Linked DNA regions of Macaca fascicularis. Each later gene encodes a partner of the first gene's protein in a complex. Links are inferred from orthologs where the notes say so. Each region holds a gene or a part of one and is shown on either strand. Other genes may lie near its edges. The genes, in order: SMARCAD1 and TRIM28.

Region 1 (3,807 bases):
AGACCAATAGAATATAGTGTTGGATATCCTGCCTTAGTTTTTATTTTTTCAGCAAAGCATGGCTACATATGTATTTTATGCCAGCAGTGTTGAACATCGACTGCACTGAGTAACCCTTCCATTTTCTAGTAATTAAAACCATCCACCCGGATTCCAAATAGTTCTGCAGTTCATGAAGTATTAACAATTGTCTACGCCTTTGAAAAAGATGAGTAATTGAAAAGACTTGCTTATTAGACCAGTTTAAGACCCAGACAAACTTCATAATACACAAATTATTGCTGGGCTGTCCTGTTACCCTTTAGGAAGTAAACTGAGTTGTAAATTATTTTAGATGAATGGTAATTTTGACATTGGTCACAGCACTGTAAAGAGGTGAAGATAGTCGGGTGCAGTGGCTCACACACTTTGGGAGGCCGAGGTGGGTGGATCATGAGGTCAGGAGATCGAGGCCATCCTGGCTAACACGGTGAAACCCTGTCTCTACTAAAAATACAAAAAAAAAGATTAGACAGGCGTGGTGGTAGGCACCTGTAGTCCCAGCTACTCGGGAGGCTGAGGCAGGAATGACGTGAACCCAGGAGGTGGAGCTTGCATTGAGCCAAGATCGCGCCACTGCACTCTAGCCTGAGCGACAGTGCGAGACTCCAACTCAAAAAAAAAAAAAAAAAAAAAAAAAAAAAAAAGGTGAAGATAGTTACAACTCTGCTTACATAAATAAAGATCAGACAGTGTCCTCTTTGTGAAGTATTTTAATATATGTCCAAAAGATATTGGTATGTTCATTTATAGACTAAATACTTACCAGTACTTATTGTGAAACTTTGTATCTGACTGCACTGCCTTAAGTGTACAGAGACACTGCTTCTCGGGCCAGGCACAGTGGCTCGCGCCTGTAATTCCAGCACTTTGGGAGGCTGAGGCGGGCAGATCACGAGGTCAGGAGTTTGAGACCAGCCTGACCAACATGGTGAAACCCCGTCTCTACTAAAAATACAAAAATTAACCGGGCTTGGTGGCATGCGACTGTAATCCCAGTTACTGAGGAGGCTGAGACAGGAGAATCACTTGAACCCAGGAGACAGAGTTTGCAGTGAGCCAAGATCGCACCACTGCATTCCAGCCTGGGCAACCGAGCGAGACTCCATCTCAAAAAAAAGTAATTTCCATCTGAACACAGAAGTGTTTGTTGTAATGTAGTTTTATCTGTGTGTGTGTGTGTGTGTGTGTGTTTGTACACACACATATGTTTTGTTTTGTTTTTGAGATAGAGCCTCACTCTGTCACCCAGGCTGGAATGCAGTGGCACCATCTCTGCTCACTGCAACCTCCACCTCCTGGGTTCAAGCAATTCCCATGCCTTAGCCTCCCAACCAGCTAGGATTACAGGTGTGTGCTACCACACCCAGCTAATTTTCGTATTTCTCTTTCTTTTTTTTTTTAAGTGGAGATCAGGTTTTACCGTGTTGGCCAAGCTGATCTCGAACTGCTGGCCTCAAACAGTCCACCCACCTCAGCCTCCCAAAGTGCTGGGATTAGAGATGTGAGCCACTGTGCCCAGCCAGTAATTTACTTTAAATACAAATATCTTTCTCTTTTCTTGCATCTTTAGGAGTGTCTAAAAGTTAAATATTCAGAAAATGTCAGTCTCAAATGGCTTAAATAAAAGAATTTAAGGATATGTTTGTCATAATTTTCAAGGTATTCTTTTTGAACTCTTAAATATAGTTTACATATATCCAAATAACTATATTTAGTAACCAATGGACATATTTTGTATGTTTTTTTAGAGAAGTACTAGTTATAAAACTAATAAGCCAAGGGACGATTGAAGAATCCATGCTAAAAATTAACCAACAGAAATTGAAACTAGAACAGGATATGACTACAGTAGATGAAGGTAAGTTTTTTGTAAGCAGAAACTTCAGTATTTATATGACCATGCATCTAATTAGTGCAAGAAGGTGACAAAGATGACTAAAGTCCTTAACTAGCTTACAGTTTAGGGGTGATGTGTGATGTGGGAGAAGGTAAGCATATTTACTTCAAAAATACTAAAATAATTTTTTTAAAGTCTCTTAAGTTCAAAATTTTTATTTTTGTATATGTTTTTGAAAAGAATATGTTCAGAACTCAGAAATGAAAGAACAGACACCTCCTAGTCACCCCATCTCCCAACTTCCCCATAGAGGTGGCAAGTGTTAGCCTTTCGTTTTTGTGTGTGTGTGACCAGTTATTTTATGTGTGTAGAAATAAACACGTATTCTTTCTTTTATGGGAGTAAGGGTGCATGTCAACTACGATACACTCTTCTGCACCTTTTCTTATTTAATGTTAAGTTAATTGGAAATAAGCAAGTTTTTTCATTCTAATAAATAAGGATATTCCTGATATTGATAATGGTTCATTTTAATTTAGCAAATTTCTGTTCATGACAGATACTGTTATGTCTGTGTTATATTAGGCACTCTGTACTATAAAAGTCAATACACTTTAATCTGTCTACAGCGAGAGAGAAATGCATATGATCAAATAATTACTTGTTTTTCTTGCATAACATTTCAGGGTGCTATGGAAGCTTGGGGAGGCGGGCAGTAGAAAAAGTTTGAGTAAGAAGCAACTGAGATCTTTAAGGATAAGTAGGGTGATCATAAGTTAAACAATTAACACGAATTACTAGGCTTTTTGTGCATATGGCAACTTGCCAGTTTCAGGTTGTCCAGTAAATACAGTAAAGTGAGTGCGTAAGGCAGATTCTCTTTGGGCAATGTTTTCCTTATTATTTCGCTATGGCAGCTTTTAGAATTTAGTAAAGCATTTAAATTCTTTTTTACCAATACCAGCAAATATCCAGATATATGGATTTTATTCTATAATAAGTTTCTAAATATAGTAGAACCATAATAGTTGATAAAATTAACTATAAGTCTTTTCTTATGGGCTAGTTCATTTCCTCAGAGGTAAATTTTTCAGCCTCCTGTGAAGTGAAGAGAGGTGGGGAGAGGTGGTATGAGCCAATGGCCCTGAGAACTGAAGGAGGGAGGTTTGTTCTCATATTTAAATATTAATAGTTAATCTGCCTGTTTTCAGCAGCCTCTCTGTTCTCTACTATGACAAGTCCAGTGTTCCTCAGACTCATATTCTCCAAAGAGAATAAACCTTCATTTTTATACATCTGGGGCAAATGGCTGGCTTTCTTGGGCAAGCTGTAGTCATCTTACCTGTTCAAGCTGATTATAGCTTCATGTTTCCCATTTACCCCCATTTCCTGAGCTTTGAGGGTAGAAGGGTAAGGATTCTTGGTATGAAGTAGCCTTGCATTTCCCACCTGCAGACACTTAAGCTTTTACTTTATTGTGCGAAAATCAGTTTCCATGCTTTCATCTATTGTTTTCTTTCAAAATTTGTGAACAACTCTCTCTCTGCTGTTGTCTTTTTCGCCTATTCTTTCTCCTTTGTCTAATCCCCTTACACTTTTTTCTCCCATTGTATTTTAATGGTATTACAGATGATGGGAACAGAGGTGATGTGTATATTCAATCATTTTCAGTCATAATTAATGTAAATTATTTGTATTTGTATAAATTTGGTCAGTCTAAAATTTTGCCTGTTCTGTTCACCTGCGTTGTCTGTTAAAATAGCAGTGTATTTTTAGCTGTGCTCTCAAGCCAGTACCTTTGAAATGTTTAGTTATGAAGAATCCTGCCCTCTCTTTACCACTCTCCTTACCACTTTTCCTAGAAGTTTTTCTCTGTCTTGTTAAAGCTGTTTATATGTTTTTTTTCCCAGTGTGTATTTTATTTGCTA
Region 2 (4,252 bases), on another chromosome or scaffold:
TGATTTATAGTTTGTGTGTGTGTTTTTGCGGCGGGCGGTAGGGGGGCCGGCGTGGTGGCTGACACCTGTAATTCCAGCTCTTTGGGAGGTCGAGGCGGGTTGATCACCTGAGGTGGGGAGTTGGAGACCAGCCTGGCCAAAGTGGTGAAAGTCAGTCTCTACTAAAAATACAAAAAATAGTCGGGCGTGTGGAGGCGGATGTCTGTAATCCCAGCTACTCAGGAGGCTGAGGCAGGATAATTGCTTGAACCCGGGAGGCAGAGGTTGCAGTGAGCCGAGATCGCGCCACTGCACTCCAGCCTGGGCAACAGAGCAAAACTCCGTCTCAAAACAAACACAAAAAGATTTCTTCTTTTGAGATGGAGTTTCGCTCTTTTCTCCCAGGCTGTAGTGCAATGGCACGATCTCGGCTCACTACAACCTTCGCCTTCCGGGTTCAAGCGATTCTCCTGCCTCAGCCTCCCGAGTAGCTGGGAGTACAGGCGCCCGCCACCACGCCCGGCTAATTTTTGTATTTTTAGTAGAGACGGGGTTTCACCATGTTGCCCAGGCTGGTCTCGAACTCCCGACCTCAGGTGATCGACCCGCCTCGACCTCCCAAAGTGCTGGGATTAAAGGCGTGAGCCGCCGCGCCCGGCCACATTTTTTTCGATCTGTTGTCTAGGCTGGCGTGCAGTGGCACAATCCCGGCTCACTGCTGCCCCGGCCTCCTGGGCTAAACGGAGCCTCCCGATTCGCCTAAGAAAATGGTGGGATTACAGGTATGAGCCACGGCGCCCGTCTGTGATCTACATTTGATTTAGGCAACTTTCTGTGTTTCTCAAGTTTAACTATAACGTGGTTAAAATTCAAAAGTCAGCCCCTGCTCTCACACAGGCGCTTCCTCCCTCCTGGGATGGAGCCTGTCCTCCCCTCTCCCGGGGCACAGCCCTTTACTCCGTCTTGGCCCCGCCTACTTCTCCATTGGCCCTGCCCCCTATCCCGAACGCTTAGTGACGCAGAGGCTGGAGACGACTCTACGCGAGCGAAAAGACGCGGGTTGAGGAAGAGTTACGGACTGCCCATGCGCTTGGGCGCACAGCGGCCCGCTTCGGTGTGGTCTGGAGGTGGAGCTGAGAGGGGAATCACACTCTATAAAGGTGCGCACACCCCACTGGCGGATTAAATTGCGGCAGTGACGTCACAGAGGGACCGCCCCGCCCCCACAAGACCCCACCGACGTGGGGTTGGCCGTGGTGGAAGGACCCGGAGTGGGCGCGTGCGTACTGGCAGCCTCTCCCGCCCCGACCGGCCTGGGCCCCGCCCCCGGGCGTGCGGCGCCCAATGCGCGTGCGCGGCGGCGTCGGCGCCAGTTATTTCTGTCCCGCCCCCCGGCCTCGGCTCTTTCTGCGAGCGGGCGCGCGGGCGAGCGGTTGTGCTTGTGCTTGTGGCGCGTGGTGAGGGTTTCGGCGGCGGCTGAGGAAGAAGCGCGGGCGGCGCCTTCGGGAGGCGAGCAGGCAGCAGTTGGCGGTGCCGCAGCAGCGTCCCGCGCGCGGCGGGCAGCGGCCCAGGAGGCGCGTGGCGGTGCTCGGCCTCGCGGCGGCGGCGGCGGCCCAGCAGTTGGCGGCGAGCGCGTCTGCGCCTGCGCGGCGGGCCCCGCGCCCCTCCTCCCCCCTGGGCGCCCCCGGCGGCGTGTGAATGGCGGCCTCGGCGGCGGCAGCCTCGGCAGCAGCGGCCTCGGCCGCCTCTGGCAGCCCGGGCCCGGGCGAGAGCTCCGCTGGCGGCGAAAAGCGCTCCACCGCTTCTTCGACCGCGGCCTCGGCCTCGGCCTCGGCCTCGGTGTCGTCGCCCGCGGGGGGCGGCGCCGAGGCGCTGGAGCTGCTGGAGCACTGCGGCGTGTGCAGAGAGCGCCTGCGACCCGAGAGGGAGCCCCGCCTGCTGCCCTGTTTGCACTCGGCCTGTAGTGCCTGCCTAGGGCCCGCGGCGCCCGCCGCCGCCAACAGCTCCGGGGACGGCGGGGCTGCGGGCGACGGCGCCGGTAAGTACGAAGTGATCGGGGCCACCCCTCCCCCTACTCTCTGCCTTTGATTCCCACTGGGTGCAGAGATGAGGATGCCACCTGGGCAAGAGGATGGGGGCCCGGACAGTGCACGGGGAGTACTTTCTGGGTCCTGCATAGGAACGTGGGTTTGAGCTGGCCGCTGAGATGAGACATCTGACTAAAGTTGGAGAAAGGGCTCGGGGAGGGGAGGGGCTGGCTCGCTGCGGGGTAATGGTCGGGGGCCCACCCAGCACGGGGATGCGGGGGGCCATAACTTGGGTGGGAACTTGTAACAGTCTCCCACATCCCTGCCTCTTGAAGTGGTGGACTGTCCCGTGTGCAAGCAACAGTGCTTCTCCAAAGACATCGTGGAGAATTATTTCATGCGTGATAGTGGCAGCAAGGCTGCCACCGACGCCCAGGATGCTAACCAGGTGCGTCCAACCGCAGCAACCACAGGGAGGTTTCTGGGGAGGGGGCATCTGCCCAGGAGGAGCTTGACACCAGCTCCCAGGCTGTTACTCGACTTTCCCAAGGCTCTGGGTGGGCTGTCTAGGCTGGGTCAAGGGACCAATCTTAATCTTGGGTTGTATTTTCTGAGGTGTAGATGTGGATCTAGCAAGTTGTCTTGCTTTCTCTGACCCTGCCTTTGTCTGGCAGTGCTGCACTAGCTGTGAGGATAATGCCCCAGCTACCAGCTACTGTGTGGAGTGCTCGGAGCCTCTGTGTGAGACCTGTGTAGAGGCGCACCAGCGGGTGAAGTACACCAAGGATCACACTGTGCGCTCTACTGGTACGTGAGGCTGAGGGGGCTGTTGCTTTCCCGTGTGTGCCCTCAGTTGCTTTTATAATGTTGGTTGCATTTGGTGGATGGGTCCTAGAGTTGTCCAGGGGGTGCCGCCCGAAGGGCCGGAGAGCAGAACTCCAAAAGCAGGAAAATTGTGGTTGTGGTGTGTAGTCTCTAGGGCTTAGGTGGGAGGGGGTGGGAAGGGGAGACGTGGAGACCTTAATGTGCTGCAGGGAGGTACAGAGGGTTTGAGGAAGCTTATCAGGGAGTTCTCAGTCCTGGTGTTGAAGGGCTCAGAATATGCAAACAGGGAAAGGCATGGTGTGAAGGGCTTACTGGGTTTGTGGTTCCCTGGCACACATCTGGTATAAGACGCTGTTAGGGAAAATGAGACTTTGTGGGTCCATGGGTTATAAGTGATGGTGATTTCTGGAAACGTTTTAGCTTTTGAGTTGGCAGAGACTTACCCGGAGTTTGGTTTGGCATTTCCAGCTTTTCGCAGACACTCGCTAGCTTTGATTTGGAAAGGAGCTTGAGAGTCTTTTGAGTGTAGCCCAGTTTTTGGGCCAAAATCCTCCCATGAGTGGCCTTTTGGTAGCCATACCGTGATTCTTCCCATCCCAGAGGCCAGCATTGGTGGAAGATAGTGGGAAAGTGGCGGCTGTGGGGCCTGAGGAGCCAGGAGGGATAGGCAGGGGCTGCAGGGTGTCCTACATTCCAGACGTCCCAAGCAAAGGTCAGGGTGCAGGAATGGTGGCACTGGGGAAGTCAGTTTCCCCAGTGAGCCCTGATGCTACGTATTTTGGATTTGGTTGGTATGTTGGACCACTATGCTTAATCGGTTTTCTAATGGGGAAGCAGGCTTTGAAGGTTATTAATGTGTTGGTCTTGGGGTGGAATTATGCTGAGCACCAAGCTCCTGGTCTAGAGGGGGTGTGACCACCATTCTGAGGGTCCTAGTTTGACATTTTATCTCTCCCAGTATGAGAACCTCTACAGGTTTTCTCTGGGCTCTTGGGTTGTAAGAGACCCTGGTGTTTTCTTGTCACGAAAGAGGGAGGAAGTTAACCATGAAAGGAGAAGAAAAGGAGTCCAGGGTGGTTTGTAGGCAGAATTCTGAATATGTCCACTTGGAGAATAAAGGGAACAGTGTGTGTGGGGGGGTAGTCCTCTTTTTCCGGAGGCTGTCCTTACCTTTACCTTTGTGTCACCTCTAGAAGCTAGAAGAAAGGGATGTGTTTCTCAGCTATGTTGGGGCAGAGGTTTCTGGGAGCAAGGAATTGGGCTTGCAGGCCTGTGTTCTTCGCTGGCCACACCCTCTACATCTTCCCAATAAATGGCCCAGTGTCACAGAATGGGCAGGAAATGAGGCCCCAACTTAGTCTGCTTCCTGAGTTGGGGGTGGTGAAGGGCAAGGTCCAGCCTTATGATTCCGACTCCCCAGG

What was found.
Region 2: the proteins of SMARCAD1 (region 1) and TRIM28 are in contact, whole or in part, in a crystal structure (PDB 6H3A), measured with the Homo sapiens proteins. The link is inferred for Macaca fascicularis from reciprocal best matches to the Homo sapiens genes SMARCAD1 and TRIM28. Residues at the interface, in NP_001362784.1 of Homo sapiens: Asp156, Leu157, Ala160, Lys161, Gln163, Thr164, Glu167, Leu168, Phe169, Asp188, Gly189, Ala190, Ala192, Leu196, Ala201, Gly202, Gly203; in NP_005753.1 of Homo sapiens: Arg330, Trp333, Thr334, Lys337, Ile338, His341, Leu376, Lys377, Ile379, Val380, Asp381, Val383.

Annotation. Positions count from the first base shown.
Region 1 is NC_088379.1:99,897,784-99,901,590, forward strand, and holds part of SMARCAD1 (SWI/SNF-related matrix-associated actin-dependent regulator of chromatin subfamily A containing DEAD/H box 1), read left to right. Parts: intron 1-1,612; exon of another isoform or gene 1,613-1,701; intron 1,702-1,790; coding exon 1,791-1,900; intron 1,901-3,807. UniProt on the Homo sapiens protein: DNA helicase that possesses intrinsic ATP-dependent nucleosome-remodeling activity and is both required for DNA repair and heterochromatin organization.
Region 2 is NC_088393.1:66,277,608-66,281,859, forward strand, and holds the start of TRIM28 (transcription intermediary factor 1-beta), read left to right. Parts: upstream 1-1,382; 5' UTR 1,383-1,677; coding exon 1,678-2,017; intron 2,018-2,341; coding exon 2,342-2,454; intron 2,455-2,680; coding exon 2,681-2,813; intron 2,814-4,251; coding exon 4,252-4,252. UniProt on the Homo sapiens protein: Nuclear corepressor for KRAB domain-containing zinc finger proteins (KRAB-ZFPs).